3 linked regions of the Tribolium castaneum genome follow. The protein of the gene in region 2 purifies or fractionates together with the protein of the main gene of each other region. This does not show direct contact. Links are inferred from orthologs where the notes say so. Each region holds a gene or a part of one and is shown on either strand. Other genes may lie near its edges.

Region 1 (7,198 bases), on a different chromosome or scaffold from region 2:
GGCCGTGTCTGTGCAGACTCCGGGTTGCCGGGCAACCCCGGATCACGTGTCCACCGGAGTTTCCGGTCGTAATTAACCGATACGAAAATCAGCGCATTTTAATAGCCGGAGACGAAATGTGATGAAAAATTGATCGAGTTTTTGCGGGGGTTGAGTCTTTGGGGCGAATGCCAGAATCGATGGAGGAGTCGTCCGAGGGTGAATTTATGGACGGAAAAGGAATAAAAATAGGGGAAATTGGGGAAGTGGACAATTCGTCCAAGTTTGAATTGCTTGTGGAAAAAGAAGAGAATGATACACGCAAAGTTGCGTTTTTATTAATGAGGACGGGAAGTTCATTATGGGGGTTTAATTGAATTTGAAAGTTGTCACACATTTGATAGCTGATTGTGGTAATTAAATTGGACGAGTTATAGGCTTTGTTTTCTCCGGTTTTGCAAAAAATCACCAGAATTCCGATATTTCAGCCACTTATTTATGAATGATTTTTTTCCTTATTTGAGTCAAACAGTCACTTATTTATAAAAAAATTGTCGAAAAAAACCCGTTAACTCTGGAATTAGTCTTCCTGTTGATTGAATTAGCTGATTTGAAATAGAAAAGAAAGATTTACAAATTATCCCGGCGCATCCACCATTTTTGTCGGTGCATAAAACTAACTTTTTCTCAACAGATATGAACGAATAATCTTATCACATATAATCTTGTTTATATTCAGTTATATACAGAGTGATGTGCACCAACTTTAAAGTTGGTAATAAGAGAGCCACCAAAAAATTCCTAAGAAATTTGGCCTTAATGGCGACCAAAATTGTCGAGATATCAAAAAAACCGCAAAAAATTAACAGTTTTTTTATTAAATGCAATCTTTCAAAATTATATTTTTTGTTTAATTAAAAAAAAATAGTTGGTACTATATGTTTTTTTAAGTTCTTAAAATTTCTAAATAATTTGAAATTTTTCAAAAATATTTACTCAAAAAAACTCAGAAAATCAAAAATTCTAGTTAGTTTTCTAAAACAGAACAAAACAATGGATAGACAAAAAGAAGTGGAAAAATATGATGAAAATAATACATTAAAAAATCAAAAAGGAAAGAAGATACAATAGAAAAAAAATCCAAAGACGTAATTGATGAATATTTTATAGCAAAAATAAAAGAGTCACCTCATTTGAATTTAACCTAAATAAATAAATAAATAAATAAATCAGACAGAAAAATAGAAAAGAAAAATAATTGATAAAATGAAAATAAAACAGTAAATTACTAAAATTAAAAATTAAATTACTTCAAAATAAATTTTTTTTTTAAACTGCTTTACTTTTTTTCTCCACAATAATTTACACCATAAATGACAATAAACTCTCAAACCTTTGGCCTGCTTTTGAAAAAAATACATTCAAACCAATGTATTTGTACAAATCTTTAATTTTTTTATAATTATTTAGACTTCTGAAGTGATTCTTTATAATGCACTAAACTTGGAACTCGCCAGTTTTGAGACATTCTGTATATTATGTATAATGCATTAACATCTAATCTGCTATAAAACAGTTCAAAAGACGTGCAGTGCAAAAATTACGTAATAAAAAAATATAGTTTTAAGTACTTCATAAATTCACTGATATCTCTAATTATCATTATTCGTTTTATGTTAATTGTTTGACGTAGTCATTAATCTGCGTAGTAACACCTAATGCTTGCCAATAAATTTATTTATTGAAATTAATCTGTAATTAATGGGATTCCAATGATTTTTTTAATTAGAATACTTATTTCAAAAGTACTTTTTGGACTTTCGCGCAGCATTTATTTTTTTTGACGTCCGTATTTGCTGCATTTGGAGATTACTGTAGTCAAAAAAAATGTACCGCCTTAATTTTATGGTTTTACGATATTACGAAGCAATCTTTCAAAATTTTTCCAAACGTTTAATGAAACGAAATTAATTATTGTGAAATGTCGGTATTTAATTTTCCCGCTTATCAGTTATCAATTTTGTAGGGTATGCAAAAAATACTCGTAGCTTCGATAGATTCTTTTATTAATAAACAAGTATTACAAATTAATTTTTGGGGGTATTGTACACTGGCTAGGGTTGGTATCACTGCCGATTCTCTTGGGGATTCACCTCCTGGTTCTGGTTGCCCCAATCGAACCCCCCGGGCCGCTCCTCAGGAGGCGGGGCATAGTCCGGGTCTTCAGGTATTTCGTCAAATAGCGTACGCCTGCAAGAATCTATTAAAACTAACCCGAAAAACGCCCAATCCTTACATAAAATGCGGCGTTTTAAGTATCCTAAAACCCCCTCTTTGGTTTGGAAAAACATCCTCTATAAAATAATAAATATGTCCCACGGCTATCCCCATCAAGTCGACATAGACCGCATTTCCCAACAAGAGCGAGAAGCCCAGTAAAACCCAAGGCAAGTAAGGAGCTTGGAAGTTCAAAAGGCCGAAAAAGTTCATCCTAACGTACGGATTGCGCCGCGACCACACGTAAACCAGCATTATTGTGAACGCTTGTCCCAGAAATAATAAGTTAACAAAGAACGCAAAAATCTAGTCGGCGTTAAGGCCAGCTTTTGACGTTAAAAACGGCGCGCTTTTTGAAAGGATACAATCATACACACGCCCCCGAACAGGAACATCATCACAAAGTCGGCCGTCCTGTTCCGGAACGAGCCCTCCTCAAGCATCCTACAGTACCTATAAGTGAAAATCATGTTGAAGAAGAAATTGAAACCGAACGTTCCAAAAAATAGGAATGTGGTGACTAGCCGCCATAACTGCCCCTGTTTCAGGATCAGGATGGGGTTGAAGTACAGCTGGAAGGGCGACGCCAGTTCCAATTGCTTGAATGAAACAAATTTTAACAAAAAACCCCCCAAAAAAATATAACTTACAACAGCCAGCGTTGTTATCACACATGCCGTTGTGTACGCCCGGGTCACGGGGGGCATGTGCAGGTATTCGTTTCGTAACGTCTGATAAGCCATTTTCGGGCTAACTATCACGACATGTCCATTTTAAGCCAAAAATCAGATTTTGAAAGCCACATCAGTGCTTGAAATTATCTTGTCAAAATTTGACATTGTTGACATTTCTCTCCCGGCGCTAGTAACTTCGTTTCGGCACGATTGGTACCCAAGTCGTAAATTCGGCGAAATTAATAAATTCGTTTCAAATAAACAAATCCCCGATGGTCTATTTCAGAAAAATTCCGTGTTTACACTTCCAATTGTGCCTTTGTTTAACTAAAAATGAGCCTGGTTTGTTTAAGTTGGCGGGACTGTGCGCACGCGCTACGTTTTGTTTAACCATACTGTCAAATTTTTCCAAAAAATAAAACCATTTTTTGCGATGGTTTTGACTAAAGAATACCGAATTTGTATGCCGATTACGGTCGAAGAGGTGAGTTGTGGTCATTTAGTGCTTTACTTGACTTGGTTTTATGAAAGTATCAAGTGGGGCAACTGTACATGATCGCGAGGCACAGTTTGGAGCAGTCGGGGGATGGCGAAGGGGTTGAAGTGGTTGAAAATCGGGAAATTGACGACCCGGAGCATGGCAAAGGCCAGTTTACCGAAAAAAGAATTCACTTATCAAGGTTTGATTAAGAATTAGCGAATTAGAGCGTTAGGTAATGAGTTTTTGTAGCCGTTTGCCTTACTGGGTGCAGGCCATTATACCTAAGATATTTTACGTGACGGAGAAAGCGTGGAATTATTACCCGTACACTATCACAGAATATACGGTACGGCCCAAATATACCGGGTGTTTCGGTTTTTTATGCGCACCTTTGTAACTTTTTTATTTTTGTAAAAAAGTGTACAAGTCGTTTATATTTTTGGTTGGATTGACAAAATATATTGAATAAAATCATCAAGTTGGCTGTATGGTGACATTCGTCAAAACGGTGACTGTCAATTTTTTTTCATTGGTTCCTTGTATAATTTTTTGCACCATTATTTATAATTTTAAACATGTGACAAAGAATTGGTAAATAATTAAAAAAATATAGATTATTTTAAATAAAAAAATATATATTATATACTTTTATTTACTAACTTAAACAAAATACTATTTTTTTGGCACTCCTTTTATAATAAATTCATGTCTACGGATATCTAAAGGTTAGGATATAAAACAGCCTACTAATAAAACGTTTCTGTCCTCGATAGTTCCGTTAATGACGCCATTATTGCATTGTAAAGTCAATTTATGCCTAAACCGTTAAAAATAGAAATATGGTATTTTACTTTATTTAATAAAAAAATTACAAGGGTTAAATTCCCAAACTGAAACACCCGGTATATTTTTTATATATTTTTTATTATTTATTTGTAGTGCTCATTTATTCCACGTTTTCACATTGAAATTAAAACCAAATATGAGAATAACAACGGCAGTACCGAAAACGTGAGTCAAAAAATAAATTGCAATTATTTTTTTTAAATAAAAAAATTTAGTGTCTTAATTTAACTCCTGAACAACTTGCCGAACGCCTAGTCGACCACATTGACATAGCCTACGATGAAGTGAGCCCCAAACACTACAAAGAGGAAGAGGACCCGCGTTTTTTCCAGTCGAAAAAAACGCAAAGGGGGCCCCTGGTGGAGGGCTGGCGGGCTAACTACACCCCAATCATGTGTTCGTATAAATTAGTAAATGCCTCGTTTGAGGTTTTTGGCCTCCAGACGAAAGTCGAGGATTTTATCCATTCGGTGCGCGCACTCGTTTTGGCAAACTTTTGGTTGTTAAACAATTTTTTTAGTGTATTCGCGAGGTGCTGTTGCTGGGGCACAGGCAAGCCTTTGCGTGGATTGACGAATGGATAGAAATGTCGTTGCAGGATGTGCGTGAATACGAGGCGAAGTTGCAATCTCAGACCAATTCGCTGCTTGCTGATAAGGTCGGGGGCGGCGATACAGCCGCCCAGGAGTCCCCCAAAAGCCCCAAGTCGCCCCAGAAAAAGGGCTATTTTTCGTGGTTCTAGCATCAGGAGGTTACGTTAGAGGATTGTTGCGTTTTTGTTCTTTTTTTGTTACTTCATGTTTAGTTGCTTTTGTTTAACTAGTCAAATGTCTGCGTCATTTGTTATCGCTTGACGTTTAGGAAATTTTTATTTAACGAATTTTAGGTGCACTCTGGACCAGGGCGTTTCTCCTCAATTTTTTGTATGTATGTAGTGTAGAAGTGAGAATAGTTGTGTAAAGGGGATTTTTGTCTCCAACTTCCTCGTTTATCGTGATTAATACCTACGTTGTATTGTTGGAAAAATAAAATTTCACACGGAAAATTGGATTTTTTTTCTGACCCAAATTTACAATAATTTGCATTTGGGCGATAAAATTGTGAGACATAGTTAAGTCACAAGGTTATCTCTACTCAACAAAAAAACAAATTTTTGGTTTAATTTGTGTCACAGTGTCGTGTTTGTTCGTTTGGAAACAAAATTCGGCTGAAATGCTTCATACGAGGGCAGGTCAAAAATTAAAGTAATCGACTGTTAAAGGTGAATTTTTAATTTTTTATAAAATCCCCTTATCCTAACGCATTGAGTGTAAGGATTGTGGTAAAGACAAAGACAAAAAAGTATTAAGGAAACTACTGCCCCCGTATGAAGTCCAAAAATTGAGATGCTTTATTTTCCGCAGTTTACTTGCGGTAAAATAACTTTATCATTAATTGAAATAAATAAAAATATGCAAAGCAATTTACAGAAAAGCATTTTTGTGCACTATTTTGCTCGGAGTGTATATTTGGTTGCCTACACTAAAAAATTGAAACTTGTTTTGGCTGATAAAATGAATTTTTATATGCCTTTACAACCCAATAGAGTTGTTAAAAGTCCAAAAAAAGTCTATATGTTCAAATGTTTTTATGTTTGCTTTTTTCAATTTTTGTCGAGATTTTGGTCGATTTCGGGTACCCGGAACATTTATCGAGCAATAACTGCGGAACTATTAGAGATAACCCTGTGAAGTGTATTATCGTTGGAAAGCTCTTTAAATTGTCTATTTTTTTCAAAAAAAAATATTGTTCTCCGACTAATAGTTTTCGAAAAAATTGCAGATAAATGCAAAAATTGGTAAAATATTAAAAAATTTATAACTAAAAAACTATTAAGAATTTGGCAATTTTGCCGATGCCAATCGATTCCCCGCATCATTTTGCATGGGTAAGGATAAAAATAGTTCTACTTTTTCGAATAGTTCAGCCGTAATTAAAAAAATAAGAATTTAAAAAAGTTAACGCAAAATTTTATTCAACAAAAAAAATCATAACTCAAAAACTAAAAGTCGTAAAGCAAAACCGTTTGTTCCAGTGAATTCAGCGGCTCATTTTCTGTATTATACCAACTTTTCACAAAATTTAAAATTTTGTTTTTTTCTGCTAAAATTTCCTGAGTAATACGCTTACTTACCTTCAAGATAGTGAAAAAAATATATTTTTTTAAACTCGTTCTATTATAGTTTTTTGGACTTACATATGCTTTTACATCCCTCTAGAGTTGATAAAAGTTCAAAATAAGTCGAGTTGTTCGATTTTTTCAATTTTTGTCACGGTTTTGGTCATTTTTCGGTACCGGGATTATTTATCGAGCAATAACTCCGGAACTATTAGAGATAACCATACGAAGTGTATTATCAATGGAAAGCTCTTTAAATTATCTATCTTTTTAAAAAAAGATGTTTGTTCGCCGAGTAATGGTTTTCGAGAAAATTGCAGATAAATGCAAAAATTTGTAAAGTTTTAAAAATTCATAACTAAAAAACTATTGGGAATTTGGTATTTTTCTCAACGCCAATCGATTCCTCGGATCATTTTGCATGGGCAAGGATTAAAATAGTTCCACTTTTTCGAATCGTTTAGCCGTAATTGAGAAAATAATTTTTATTTCTTCAAGTTATAGCACGTAATATACGAGCTCTTCACGAGATTTAAAATTCTTAATTTTTTTTGCTTGAAATTTTATAGGTCAAGTGACTTACCTTCACAAAAACGACGTTTTATTCATTGTTAAATTTTTTGAAGATAAAATAAAAATTTTAATAATTATGTATTTTTTGATAATTTGTAATAAAAAACGGGCTACTCGTAACAACTATTTATTAAAACTAAAAATTCACAGAGTCTTGCACAAATAAAACAAGTGATGAGTATACGTCCTAACTTAAAACAAGAGTGAAAC
Region 2 (7,247 bases):
CTCGCCACGGAATACTTGGACGACAGGAGACAAGAATACGACACTTTGGAAAAGATTATAATCAAAGATATGACCACTCGTAAGACTGACATTCGCGTTTTGCAAGAACACATTGACCGTGCGACTGCTAGCATTAAGCTGTTGTTGCGAAAAGATGTAATTTGTTTGGTATTAAAACCCTCCGACTGTTTAGATTTTCTAGAGCGACCTCACAACATGTGCTAAAAGTATCAGGGATTCCGCCAGCATGGAAAATCTGCGGCGAGATGTGGGCCAGGTTGAAAAAACCCTTGTCTATCTTAAAAACACAACGCTGGCACGGTCTTATGATACGATATATCCTTGGTGAGAATGAAAGATTTGTTTCTTGTTTTTGCTAATGACAATATTCAAGTCTGGAAGAACAGCTCAAGCAAAAACGGCGTCTGAAGCGCCTGACAAAAAAATGTGAACGCGATAGAGACATCATGTTGAACAAAACCAACCACGCTAATTTAATGAACTCGGTTTTGAAGAATACGATGAATGAGACAACTGTCGAGTAATTTTTACATTACAAATGAATTTTTGATAAAGTTGAAATTCCAGATACAGAGCAAGGAAGACGGAATTAAAGGATGAAGTGGAGAGACTCAGGAGTGAAAAAAAAAGATATGCAAAACTGCTACAAATCAAGCGAACAATAGCTGCAAATATTCGCATAGGTTTGCGGCAACTTTTACAAGTCTCGTATGAACTGTCGGATGAAACTAAGAAAAAACCTGCTCCTAGCTCACACCCTTTTGGTGTTTTGGCCGAGAGGAAGGACAAACCACAGGAAATTGTCGAAGATGAAATCGACGGTTACTTGAGGGTTATTTTTGTATAAATGTAACTAAATCAGTGTTTTAGGATCAAAAATTGTGCCAATTTTGGTGGCCAAATTCACTCCCTTAATGTCACACTACTTTGCGCTCAAACACGAGCCAAAGTCCGATGAGGCTTTTCGAAATATTGAATCAATGATGCAGGAGCGAATGATTCTGGCAGACCAGTCTGAGGCACCCCTGAGTGAAGCTTGTAATTGCACAAAACGCAAACACGGATGCGTTCATTTAATTGTTAATTGTAGCCTTGTTGGAGGGTTTATATGTTGAAGCCAGTGAGCAACTGACAAGGGAGGATATTAAAAAACAGAGTCAGGAAATCGTTGCAGCGAATACGAAAAACGAAGATTTAGTTCCACTAATTGTCGTTCCGTTCAACAAGTGGAAGAAAATGCAAAAGCAGCAAAAAAATTAATGGGATTTAATGATAAATTATTAATAAAAATACTCAACATCGTGGTTGTTTCAATCGTCGTCTGCCAACGCTGCAAATTTATTGTGGGCGTAATTCGTCGGCTCTTCATCTGAGTCAGTTTCTTCGTCTTCGCTTTCTTCACTGCTTCGGTCTTTGTGGTCACCGGAGGAGCCCGGGACGTTGTCTTCATCTGAAGCATCAGAGAGGTAGTCTTTGTCGTCTGCGAGCTGAGTGGAATCGTCAGATTTGGCCTGAATCCACTTCACTTTCTCGATCTCCGGGTGTGAGGCCCAATAATCTAACAAATAAAACATAACGCAGTTTCAATTTCTTTTCAACCAGCGTTTGCCCGGAATTTTCATGATTTTCTTATTAGCTAGATCTTGGACAAAAATCAGTGATTCACGTATGCCTTCTAAACATATTCCAAATGTTATTCAACTGAAAACCTTTTATTTTATCTTTTATGTCAAGAGATAAATAAAGACAACTTTTTGTATTGGTTACATGCTGATGAGCAGGATTCTGAATCATATTTGATACGAGTTTGTAAGACAGGCACATAAACGTACAAAGTAATCAAAAATCTTTACATATAGCCACAAAATTAAAAATTATTAAACAACTATTAAACTTGGGAGTTTCAAGTTTTAATGCTAGTCAAAAAATACTTCCAGTTACCCCAAAAAAATTATATCGCAACGATAGAATTTATTATGAGGAAACGATTGCAATTTTCTTCAAAAACTACATTTTTCAATTAAAATATTCCGTATGTTCCAAACGAAGTCAAATGAAATAAAAAAAAGAAGCAATGAGACATCTTATACAAAAAATAACGTTGTTCGACATGTCAACTACCTTTTTTATTTGAGTACTTGGGTGGCCTGAGACACAGGCAAATTTTCCCGTCCAAAGCCATCCTCAGTAAATCATTTGCAGCTCTGTAGCTGTCCAACCTGGCGGCTTTGGCTGTCAGGAAACCCCGTTTTTTGGCCCAGCCATCACAAATGTCCATGGCACACCAAGTATCGTCATTTTCTGGATGTTCAATCCTCAGCATATTTGGTAGATCCATACGTTCCGCTATAAAAAATTCTCAAAACTCACAAGAACAAAAATTAAAAACAATACCTAAATACTTTATCGTTGTGAACGGCTCCCTAAGTTGGGCGATGGGGAAACTCCCCATCAAAACCTGTATAACCTTTGGTGTTTTCGACGGAAAGACTAGACCAGGACAGTCGCACAGCCGCACATTGGGCGTTAAAAAAATTGTTTGGAAGTGTTTCGTATGGCCTGGAGTTCTGGACACGCTGACGACTTTCTTCCCCATGATTGCGTTAATAAGTGACGATTTGCCGACGTTGGGTTGCCCCAAACAGCCGATTGTGAGAATACCGTTTTTGTATTTTTCGTGTTCGAAGTAACTCGTGTCCACTGCTTTCATTTGAACTGTTTCTCCAATTTCAACTTTCTCGTCTTCATCGTTTTCGTATTCCAAATTCATTTCTTCCTTTATTTTGGTTTGCCAAGAACTTATGTCTATATTATCCCCAACTATGGTTTTACAAACTTCAAACAACTGTTGACTCCCTTCTGCAGCCAATCGGAACTTGCCTTTGCGTTTACGGACTTGGAGACCTAAAATTAACAATTAAATCTTGTAATTAATTTATTACACACTACAAACCAGCTCTATTCACTTGGGTGCCAACTAGATTATAGCCAGGGAGTGTGGTAAACATGCAAATGTGCAAATTGGGGTAATTCTCCTCAAAGTATTTTTTCCACGCCACGACTAACGGCGCTGGGGCCAAATCAATTTTATTCAATACTAAAATAAAGTCTTTCTTCAATGTTTCAGTCACGTATTCGTACAAAGATGGGGGAAACATGTGGGCCTACAAAAAGTAATTAAAATTTAATAAAGCAAATTGGGAGGCAGAATTACGGGATATCTGATATCAACAATGTGCAGAACAATATCTGACATTTCGAGAACCCGCCACAACTGCCGCCACGTCTCCAAGTTCAGTTCAAAGAAACTTAACTCTTTCCAATTATACTTTTCCAAGATTCCATTAACATAATCCTGAAATTAACCGATCAGACAAAATAATGTTAATGACAATAACCGTACATTAAAATATTTGGTTTCGCGTGCTTCGAGCTGTTCAGTCGTGAGCTCATATGACCACGGGGGCCTTCGAGGAAAACCCAAGTCTTTGGGAAAATAGTCATTTGAGTCAATTTCCAGCTCTTTCTCAGAGACAGGTTCTATGGTTTTGCAAGCCTCTTCTTTACGTGCTTTGAGCTCAGAGGGAGTCTCGCGGTAAAACTGCAAGGCATAACGGTTGCGGTCTCGCCCGTCCTTAGGGGGACAGTAATTGAATTTTTGAATTTGGGGCTGATCCTCACTATCACCGGCACTGGTCTTCAACAAAGGCCGCCGGTTTCGGGAACCAAAACCTTCTAAAGTGGTTACAATTAGAACAGTTTTCTGCAAAAAATAAGAGGGTACCTTGAGGGGCGTTCTGTTTGGACTGTTTTTTGGCCTTTAGCTGCTCTTTCTTGGCTTTGCCACTGAACGGTTTCTTGCGCTGAGGCATTTTACTTACTGTGCTGTGAACCTGACCTTAAATTTTTAACAGTTTTAAACATTAATTAACACAATTACAGCAACACTACTTTTTATTTTAAAATCAACGAATTCTAGAAAATCACATGGAAGTTACTAGAATCCCCTAGAACCATAGGACACTTGTCAAATTTCAAATCTCATTTTAAAATTTAAAAAGAGCGAATTTACGTTTTTTGTGTGAATTTTGTAAGCACAAAAACGCAACAACATGTGCTGCATATTTTAATAATAATCATTACAAATTAAATGTAATAATTAACCAGATTAACATTTATTTGTCCAAAAAAACCTTATTAATCAAGAGCGCTTGCGTCAATTTTGATTTGACACGTCAGGTGACATTGACATTATTTTGACAGTTTAATAATTAAATTGTAGTTTGTTGTTAATTATTAAAAATTGCAATTGCATCGTAACAATAATATTGTGGAACATTTATATTGAACAAACTGGGAGCGATGGACGAGTTTGAAGCCTTTGAGCAAGAAAACGGCTTCTGGAATCCACTGAATTCAGGTTAGTCCTTAACGCAAAAAAAGGAAAGTTTTGGTAATTAACATTCGCATTTTTAGTCATTTACATCCTTGAAAATTATGGCTGGTATATGCTAATTGCTTGTATAGCTCTAGTAGTGGTATACCAGAAAACTTTAAAATCTTACATCCAAAAACTTAGGGAATACAAATTTGAGAGAGACTATGCGGCTAAATACCACAAGAGTAAGTTACTTTACGAAATTTAGATCGTTTTAACTGGTTTGGCCCCAGATCCCGATGTTTTTGCTGCACATGTCAGTGCCCAACAACAGTGGGCCCAGAAACTCCAAGAAAAATATAACAAAGAATCTGAAGAATATCAAAGAAAAATGAAAGAAAAGGAGGAGAAAAAGCGAGAGGAGCTTAAAAGGAAGTATGAGACTTCTGGGGGTCACGTTTTGGGTAGGAAAGATGATACGAGTAATTTGCGACCAGGTGAGTGTAACACTTGCTGAGTCATGATTTATTGATTCGTTACTGTAGGATATAACCCACTGATGGGCGCTGGAAGTTCGTCCAATTATCGCCCACCTAGGAGAAGTCCTTGTGGAGGCGGAGGATGTGGCAGATAAGACTATCACTTTTAAATAATTAAACTACACAATTATAAATTATTTTTTTAATATTACACTATTGTTGGGCTTTACTTAATTAATTAATTACGAATCTATACTAGAATTAATAATTTAATAACATAACTGAAACTACAAAACGGACAGATTATCAATTTATTTGGTTATATCATAATTGTAATAATAAACATTTTTAGAATATAGCAACAATAAGGAAATAAAAGGTTTAGTGTTTTCTTCACTAGCGAATTAGACTAATTATTAGGTAAGGTCGTCGTAATCTTCGTCAACATCAGCGTCGTTCGGTACTTCCATTTCTGGGGGCCTTATGTTGTTCAACAAGTCTCTCATTGCCCCAACCAATGATACGACACTTCGTCTAAAATCTCCAGCGTCATTGTTTGCGTTTTCGTAAACCGGAAGAGCTGCAGCGCCATCTTCCTCTCTCGGTCTACAAAAAAATTCCACTCTGCTAACTGTGGCTGCGAAAACAACCCAAAAAATGGACTTACGGGTCCAAAAGATTTGGTGGAATCTGATTGGGATTAAAGTTGGGCAAAATCGACCTGAAGAAAATACTTAAAGGAATGGAACTATTATTTGAGACTGTTGGCCGTTTTGGCTTGGTGTAGATGTTGATGGAGTCTTGAGGGGGCAAAGGATCGAACCCTAAGACAGGTCCGCTGAAATCCTGGAATAACAATTAATCCCATGTGTGGTTTTGCACAAAAAATTACATCAGTGATTGGTGTTAGATCCTTGATGTCTGAGAGCAGAATATGTCTCGCTATGCTCCTTGGCAGGGAGCCTTGGTACCTTTTGGCCCGTTTCGTCTCATAATCCTTCACAACTGGGTCATTTTTATCAACTCGATCCAACACTGCGTGCACATTGCGTTCCAGCCAGTGCATCAAATCGCTGTCTTTCCACACATGGTAACACCTACTCACATACAACTGGATCAGCTGTGTCAGAGCGGCCGATTGTCTAAAACACACCCAATATACCCATCTGTTTACATATCACTCATCAATTACTTGTTTTCGTTAACTGAGAAGAATTTGTGCGTCATTACCCTGTTGTCAATTTGCACTGAGCATTTTTCAAGTAAAGGCATGAGTACGCCGGGGAACATTAACAACGCGTTCTGAAGCAAACTGTCGGCTTTGGCCGTTTCGCCGTTCGATGTGTGGAAATGGGCCACGGCTGTTGAGAAAGCAAAGTTTGGGAGTTGGGACAAGTTCTTTGCTGTCTCCCATTCGTCAGCAAAGTCAATCAGCCAGTTGTACTCGCGGGCACGTAAAGCATAAAAGTCAATTGCTAGTTTAATGGCAAGGGGGTCGCCGTCGGGGTCCAGCGAAAGGAGAAGCTTGCAGAACTCGAGGGCCGTTCGACAGCAAGCGCGGCCCCCGACGAAAGTCAGGTGCTTGAAGATTGTTATGTATAAAGCCCTGGAACGTAGGAAAAAACTTTCGATTACAATGCAAAATTTTACAGTAAATTACCAGGCGTTTAAATATAGTAATCTTTTTATTAAAATTTAAAACAAAAATGTACCTGTTTTCCTGCCTTCTGTAGTCCAGCCTGCAGTTTCCTTGCGCAACATTGAAAAGAGGGTGAAAAGCGCACTCCAGGCAATAGAGCGCCCTTTCAATAAACTCAGCTGCCATTGCCAGATCCTCGCTCAATTTACACAAATCTGACAACTGTATCAGGGCATCAATGTGGTAAGGGTGGTCATTAATAATTGCAACAATATTATCAGGATTTAGACTTTCAACTGACTCAAGAAACCTGTTCTGTATCTGGCGGTAACTCTGACTGTGTTCGTAGGTAAAATATTGAATCCCCTGTTTATTTTCGAGCAAGTTCATGGAAAGTCCCGACTTGCCCACTTGGGGCCACGTATCTTTACCACTTACTAGCCACGTTGTCTTTGTATGTCCCCTCCCTCTGTTTTTTCTTTTGCTACAAGAAGAAAGTCAGAAGATCGGGCTTTAAGTGACTATTACCTACTGTTCAGCTTGGATAATTTTTGAGCCAAATATCTTTTTCAATTCATTGTTCGGGTTCAAATGTTTATGTTGCACGGACAGAATGTTCTTATTGTGGACATTTTTCTCGTGCTTGGTGTTGAATGGAGGAGCTGAGGTGGTTTTAGGCAAGTGGCTTTCGCCCAAGAGTCTGTTCACCTCACGAACTGATCTCTCGACT
Region 3 (7,590 bases), on a different chromosome or scaffold from region 2:
TCTGTTTACGTTCGTTTATTGACATTTGCGAGTGACTTTTTTATTAGTGACATTGACATCCACTGTAGCCAATCGTAGAAAAACTTGAAATGGGTTTATGGCGCGAATTTCTATTTCTATTATTAACACCAACGTCGCATTTTCCCTCGAAATTAACTGTTCTAAATTATTCATGCCCTTCAAAAAATTAATAGCTAATGTAATTTATACAATCTGTCTATAAATGAATGTAGGATCGTAGTAGGTTTCAGAAGTTTGCCGTTTTGTTCAAGAAAAAACGAACAATGTTAGTTTTACTGGTACTTTTCAGAAATTTGATAGTAATAAAATAATTAAATGCGGCAAATTTAAATTACAGAACCACCTGAGAGCCAACACTCTTTTATAAACAGTCCGTAGTTTCAATGAGGGATCTAATCTTTAATAACTATTTTACATTTTTATACAGCTTAATTAAAAAGCAACGTCACATTTTACCGAATTATCTTTTTACATAAGACTGATAAAACTGTAAAATAGTTATGAATGCTAAGATCTCTCATTGAAAGAAGAAATTGTATTAGCTATTTATTAGCTTTGTTCGCGGAGGATTTTTAGAACTAATTCTGAAGTAGTCCAGGATTTATTTACAGCGCATGTGCGGTTCTGAACCAGTTATGGATTTTAGTCAACCGCAAACGATAATTTATCGTTGTCAAGTACACAACAAATGTTTAAAAACTAACAAGCTACAAAAATTTGAACAAAGTTAGAAATGAGTTATTCGAAAAACCTAAAACGAAAAGGTATAAATTGTAGAAAACAACCCATTTTCAAATTTACAAACATTATTTTATATACAAATAATTACGATTTAGTAAAGTATTAACTAAATTCCGGTAATCAAAACAGACAGTTTATTTATATTGATTCCAATCTCAAAAATATTCAAAGACATGAGAGTAACAGAGACAAAACCGCTTTCAACTGCGCACGTCTAGAACTAAAAATCCTTCGTCGAGTCCCAGGATCGTTGGGACTAATTCTGAACCGATCCGGGATTCAGCGTACTAGAGCTGGAACTAGTTCAGGATCGCTACCGCGAACAAAGCTGTTATTTTTTTGAAATGCATGAATAATATAACAGCTAATTTTGAGAGAGAATGCGACGTTGGCGTTTTTATATTTTTGAAACAGCTAACAACTGTAGTTTCAAATGTAAATAATATGACAAAATCCAAATAAAAAAATGACTTTATTAATACGTAACAATCACTATCAAGTAGAAACTTATAAATACGATAAATTATTCTTGAAAGGCAAATCCATGACTGTAATTACTTGTTGAAATATTTAAATAGCTAATCCATATACTGATACAATGCAGAACATGGTCTTGTTCTCCCAACGCACGGTGCAGCTCCCATCCGTGTTATTATCCCAATAGCACGAACTAGCGGTGTGCAAACCGGCCCCGTTCTTCTGCATTATGGTACAGGTCACGATGTACTTGTATGGTTTCATCAATTTCGTCAATTCTGATGTGCAACATTCCACGACCGAAGTCGTCCAGTCATTGACTTTATTTTGGGAATATGCGTTGCCTCCTATCACAGTTTCTATCGCGTCTTTAATGATCTTACTCACATCGTCGACCACGAACTGGCCCTCCTCTTGCAGATCTTGGTCCAACACTTCTTGATTCGTTTTCTCCATGATACTAAAATTCTTCAAGTTAATTCTTGGAAAATACACTGTATGGTTTGTAATCTCACTGATATTTCGCCTCAAGCGGCGCAGGAATGACAACAAACTCACCCCTTTCAAAAGAGGAAACGTCAAAAGTGACAAGGCGTGGTAATACCAACCTAACAAAACGTCACCGATATCATAAAAAAATTTCTATTAATCACGCAACGAAATTTTTTATATAAAACTGTCTCATAAATAAATGTTGAAATAAAATCAATATCCAGTTGCTGGAATTTATACATTATCTACCAAACATTTAGATAAACACTATTACCAACCAATGCGACAAAAACACTAAACGTTCCAGAATTTTATTAAAACATTAATAAAACAAAAGCACTTAAATTGTAGTAGTAATTAAATCTTTAATTAAATATACTTAATAAAATGAACCACAATTACAGATTTAGTTCCCGTTAAGGACATGGCCTCGGCCCCAGTTATGCCCCCCGAAAAACCTGCCGCGGGGCTCTTGATTTGGTCTTTGTTGTCTCTGTGGGGGCACCCCAAACCCATGTACACCGCCCACTTGATCCGGGAACCATTGCTTTAGAATGGAGGGGGTTTGTATTAAAGCAGGGCCCCCCAGTTCTTGTGGGTACTTGAACATGAGAAAAAAGTACAAGTGTCCAATTAAAATGCCAATCAGTTCTTGGACACCACCCCCTGATATGACCATGTTAAAGGCCAACAACACCCAAGGGAGGTACATTGCCTTGAAGCGGGTTCCAAACCAGAAATTCACAATCGTGTCTTTGTTAAGCTGACACCAAATGTATAGTACTGAGAGGATCATGGGGTCTAGCAATAACTGGAAAAAAGGGTTATTTCGACTTAAAAGAGTTTTGAAGAACTTACGGGCATTTCAAGAAGCAATCCCACGATGACGCAACAAATCCAGTTGAAAATAAGGAGGAAGAAATAGTCTGCAGGCTTGCCGGCGTAAACACCCTCTTCCAACCTCCTTGAGTAATTATAAAGAAAATATAAATTGATCAGATAGTGAAAGCCGGTGCTTGGATTGAGAGGGTAATACAAGGCTGAAGTCACCAGCCTCCATATTTGGAAGCGTTTTAGGGGCTCTAGGAACAAAACTAAATTGTGAGGCTTCAAGATACCAAAACGTCCCAACAGCGTCAGTCCAACAGTTGATGATAACCAATATCTTGTAAAAATCGGTACATTTCGGTACCAGTCCCCGAAATCAGACATTTCGACCTTAAATACAACGTTTCATTGAACAAAACATAAAGAAATCAAACAAACATAACCTAACTTACTAGCAAATTTGGTAATGCAACTCTCCCAGTATTTATAGTAACACAGTCATAACACCAAGTGGTAGGTTTTAAAAATCATTAATTCCGAAGAAGTGTGAAAAGGATACGTGTTTTCTGGTTCTAAATATTCAATAAATTCGCTAACATGACAAATCAAACTCAGTCAATGGGGCTGTCAATTGTCAAAATTTCCAAATGGGTGACGTAGATGTCAAAAAGGTGATAGGGATTGGTGGTTGCCTAGTTTTACCTTTTTGGCTTCAGGAAACTATCTGCATTTTTGAGATCAAAAAAGTTCCCCAATTTTGATGTCTGTGCTATAATTGACTAATTTAGAGCTAAGATATTTTACTTTAAACCTCAACACGGGGTTTGCAACATAGAATCCAACACATCTTATTTATTAATAGGTACAATTGCAGATTACAGAAAAACTTGTTAAATGGTTTTGTAAAAATCATTTTGTATTTTCCGTTACGTATTAAAACTTACACGCCATGGGTCTAGCCTTTGAAGCACAATTTTGCTCTTAGAACATGATACACAATTTGTTTTTTTGTTATTTCCTTTCGTTAAAAAAAGACCGAGAAAATAAAACTTACTGCACTATGAGCATCGATGAACATATTGAAGTCTTCATATTATTTTTTTTACAAACAAAAGATGAAATCACAAAACATTTTGTACTGTCTGCGCCAATTAAGTTTGTAAAAAGAAGAATAGGTAACTTCACTTGGAACTAAAAGCGATATTCCTGTCCCTGTGCTATCCTTTTTTTTAAGGGGTGTCTTTCCAAGATAAGTGTCCAAAAGTCATTTGCCGTCACATATTTTATATACTCTAGATCAACAGGGTCCATCAGCAGCGCACAATAATTAATAATTTATTTGTCCCTTCGGGTTTTAAACTGATTCTTATGCAAAATTTACAGCTGACTTTGAATCAACTTCGATTTTTTGTTTGGAATTGCCTTCATGATGAAAAAGGCGTTTCCTTGGAAATTTTTGAAGAACTTAAAATTGGTCAAGTTTTGTGTTTACATCGTTATATCTTCCTTCTGGATAAAGCTAGAAACTTCATTTTTTTATAAAAAAAAATCCTCAATGGATGTGGATTGTAACAATTACACACAAGTTTTAGTTTCAACAAAAGAAGACTGAGAAAATAGCAGTTTTCTTGTAACGTTACATATTTGTCTAGTAGAGATGAGAATTTTTTTCTTAAAAGTTAAACCTATGCATAATCATGAAACGAAGCTAACAGCTGAGATAAATTGTTGGTGCAAGAATCATTTCGATATGTTTTATGATTATTTATGACACTCAAGTTATTGCAATTTAAAGTTACTGCCATATGCGCTTGAAGTGGCATTGCCGCGTATTTTCCTTTGTATTGGTAGTGTGTTCTAATTTTCCCATTTTTCTTTTCTCAAAACTGAAACTTAAAAACTACTTATTCACTGAGCATTTATTTCCAAAAAAGAAGTTTCTAACTTTAACCAGAAGGAATTTTTGACTAGTAGACACAAAAATTGACCAATTTTAAGGATTTAAAAAAGTTTCACAATAACGACAAAAACTAACTTCAGATTCTAATTCAGCAACAAAATTGGCATGTGAGAATAAGCGTTCAGTAAACGAGTCTATTACGAAAACCCTATCTGTAAATGTGCGACAATGAATTGAAACAAGCGCATAACTTTATTCCCAACAGTCTACTCGTAATACAGGACCAAAGTCATTTATTTTCTTTTTAACACAATGTTGATGTGAAATAATGCTCAAAAAACAGTTTTCAGGATTTTTTCGGAATTAAATAAAGCACTGATAGATTTTAAAATACTTTCACCCATACAGCCTGAGTAGAACTGTATCCTGTAAATAAGTTTCAAAAAAGTTACTTAAAACTGCTGTGAAACAAGCAGCAAAATTGCTCAAATTCTCCTTAATAAAACAGTGAATTTACGACTAACTAACTAATGCTAGAGTTTTTGTTTCCGTAATTTGCATTACACTGCAATAAATTGTAAAGAATGTTCTTTCTTTCATTTAAATATTTCTGAAGAATTAATTTGTAAAATGTAAGAATCACATTTAAAATTTGTGGCGTGTCCTGAACTTACTAAAGGGTCTACATTCGCCGCTGTAAAACTTTTTTTTAAATAAATAGGTTCAACTTAGGTTTCTTATCACAGCGATTTCGATATGTCGCTGATATTGATAAACTACCATCAGTTGTTCTAATTTTTTCTAATATTCCCATGTTTGCCCGCCAAGATAACACGCACAGATCCAATATAACTAACTTTATCAGAGTTCAACGAAAGCGTCCATAAAAAATGAACAATGGAATCAACTTTTATGAGAAGATTTAAAGTTCAAACCACAAATCGGCTTATCAGAAGCGTTCCACAGACCACACCTATTTGAGAAGATTTAGAAAAATTTCTAAGGGCGCCAAAAGTGATGTCACTAAGATTAGCGAAAAATCTGTTGTTATTTTAATTACTCACATCTGATAACCCGCAGGTAGGAATGCTTTATCTCGTTTATCAAACTTTGCACTTTAATGTTTTTAATGTTGAACTTTAAAACACCTTATTTGTTAAGAGTGTGTCGAGTGTAAAGACGAACATGTTTTGGGATATTTGCTGCTGTCGGCGAGACAAAAATGTTAAAACAGAAGAAAATGCCAACTCAAATTCGGGTAAGTTGCAATGTTTGTGTTTTAATAACTTCTAACTGGGTGTTTGTAGTGAACGAATCTCAAAATACTCAAATTAGCGTTATAAATGTGAACGGCACAGGGGAAAATGGTTCAAATAGTCCCTATCGAGAGCGGACAGGGACGGAATCCAGTGTTTCTAGTATGCATAGCATCAAATCGTATTATAGTGTCAAGTCAACGATGTCGCGAGACGGAGATTTCTACAGTATCTGTAGCGAAGAATCTTTTAAAAGTACTTAGTGGTTCTATGACATTTAAGTTTTCACCTGGACCTTAAAATACGTTTGTTGTATTTTTATTATAATAAATTATTTATAACGACACGCCTTTATTTTTAATCGCCCCATCACTTTTAATTCCGCATACCGACAAAATAAAATAACCATCGACTCGCCCTATCGACGAAATATTTAATTATCAAAAACCTTGGAAACAAACTAATTCCAAGCCAAAAGTCTCACAAAATGTTCCGAAAACTTTCTATCATTATTTTCCTGTTATATTTGGCTCAAATCTTGGCAGAGGACACACCAAAGAAGCGACCTCCTCCAGATTTCTCCGTCAAATACATTTTCATCTTCGGCTGTCTTTTACTGGTAACGAAGACCCGCCACTTCATCATTGTAAGTTTTCCCTACGTTCAGTCAGAGATTTAACCCCAACCAGAACAAAGGAATCCCCGTCCCTTACGCCGCCGTGTGCATGACTTGCGGTGTCCTGTGGGGAGTCGGAACTTGGTACAGTCCTTGGATGGAAGACGTCTCTTTAGTTTGGCCAACTATCATCAATGAATTCGATGTCATCTTCCTTCCGGCAATGGTCTTCAGCACCGCCATCTGCATGGACATTCACACCTTCCTGTATTCTTTTCCCCAAATTTTCGTTATTTCTTTCCCAGGTAGGTACTCGTAAATATCGCATCAATCGTACGACATTTTTAGTCAGTTGCTCTTCTCGCGAGCGCTATGTTTGGGATTTTGATGCGATTGGTGATCGACCGGAAGTGGACAGTGGTCGATAGTCTCTACTTTGGGGCACTAACACAGGCTATCTACCCCACTGAAATGCTCCGCTTATTGAAAGAGTCCGGACATCGCACGAAATGCGTGGCAATTTTGCTTGAAGGGGAGACCCTTCTCTCGGTTTCAATCGCTGTGGCATTCACACAAATGTTGGGGCTCCACATTGGAGGCTGGATTGTCCACTGGTACCAGTGGTTAATGGGGCTGGTGCGGACCGTGGTTGTTGGTCTGTTGGAAATTCTGTTCCTAACTCTGACTAAACCCAGATTTAGCTTTGCCCCTTGGTTACCTCTTTGGAGTTTTTGGAACGTTTCTCATGAAACTTTCGTATACTGACACTTCTGGGCTTTTAATAGTAACAATATCAATGTGCTACATGAGTTATTACATCGTTCAATGGATTTCAAGCGCTGGACTTCCCGCTTGTACCATTTGCGGAATTTTCATGGGCAGAGCGCGAGCAACTCTTTCGAAAGAGAGGGAAGAGTCAATTATTAATTTCTGGAAGATGGTTATTATCATGATGTGCGGGATTCTTTTTGTTGTGGCTGGAGTCATAGCACCGATTACTTTACGAATAAATGTACAAATGAAGGAATATGTCCTAGTCCTGGTCACTTATCTCATGGCGAATGTGACACGATTTCTTAGTTTCTTCTTATTTTCGCCGATTTTGTCAAGAACTGGTTATGGAATGTCGTTCCAAAACATGCTAATTTGTGTTTGGGGAGGCTTAAAAAACCCTCTAATTTTAAATTTAGCAGTAGACTTGACTATGAAAGTCTATGGAGAGAACAGTCACCGAAGACAAATCCTTTATTTACATGTCG

The links.
Region 1: the proteins of selenoprotein S (region 2) and Der-2 purify together in Homo sapiens (affinity purification with western blotting; 3 studies listed by BioGRID and IntAct, with this or other methods). This does not show direct contact. The link is inferred for Tribolium castaneum from reciprocal best matches to the Homo sapiens genes SELENOS and DERL2.
Region 3: the proteins of selenoprotein S (region 2) and Der-1 purify together in Homo sapiens (affinity purification with western blotting; 6 studies listed by BioGRID and IntAct, with this or other methods). This does not show direct contact. The link is inferred for Tribolium castaneum from reciprocal best matches to the Homo sapiens genes SELENOS and DERL1.

Annotation. Positions count from the first base shown.
Region 1 is NC_087399.1:2,162,514-2,169,711, forward strand, and holds Der-2 (derlin-2), read right to left. Parts: upstream 3,142-7,198; 5' UTR 3,000-3,141; coding exon 2,907-2,999; intron 2,856-2,906; coding exon 2,622-2,855; intron 2,563-2,621; coding exon 2,276-2,562; intron 2,230-2,275; coding exon 2,106-2,229; 3' UTR 2,029-2,105; downstream 1-2,028. Other genes in the region: rdgBbeta (cytoplasmic phosphatidylinositol transfer protein 1), read left to right, coding at 3,364-3,414, 3,462-3,610, 3,661-3,757, 4,351-4,422, 4,473-4,727, 4,778-4,999.
Region 2 is NC_087394.1:30,815,967-30,823,213, forward strand, and holds selenoprotein S, read left to right. Parts: upstream 1-4,254; 5' UTR 4,255-4,383; coding exon 4,384-4,441; intron 4,442-4,497; coding exon 4,498-4,644; intron 4,645-4,692; coding exon 4,693-4,896; intron 4,897-4,944; coding exon 4,945-5,033; 3' UTR 5,034-5,256; downstream 5,257-7,247. Other genes in the region: uncharacterized protein LOC662435, read left to right, coding at 1-156, 203-345, 395-541, 589-842, 892-1,059, 1,112-1,281; Ns4 (guanine nucleotide-binding protein-like 1), read right to left, coding at 1,332-1,579, 2,143-2,367, 2,416-2,925, 2,975-3,185, 3,236-3,376, 3,425-3,756, 3,806-3,893; Nulp1 (ribosome quality control complex subunit TCF25), read right to left, coding at 5,295-5,484, 5,546-5,724, 5,771-6,020, 6,071-6,484, 6,591-7,001, 7,050-7,247. UniProt on the Homo sapiens protein: Involved in the degradation process of misfolded endoplasmic reticulum (ER) luminal proteins. Participates in the transfer of misfolded proteins from the ER to the cytosol, where they are destroyed by the proteasome in a ubiquitin-dependent manner.
Region 3 is NC_087396.1:17,556,979-17,564,568, forward strand, and holds Der-1 (derlin-1), read right to left. Parts: upstream 3,218-7,590; 5' UTR 3,012-3,217; intron 2,950-3,011; 5' UTR 2,944-2,949; coding exon 2,590-2,943; intron 2,543-2,589; coding exon 2,138-2,542; 3' UTR 2,029-2,137; downstream 1-2,028. Other genes in the region: Dlc90F (dynein light chain Tctex-type), read right to left, coding at 1,333-1,695; solute carrier family 9 member C1-like, read left to right, coding at 6,203-6,361, 6,405-6,636, 6,684-6,986, 7,033-7,590. UniProt on the Homo sapiens protein: Functional component of endoplasmic reticulum-associated degradation (ERAD) for misfolded lumenal proteins. Forms homotetramers which encircle a large channel traversing the endoplasmic reticulum (ER) membrane.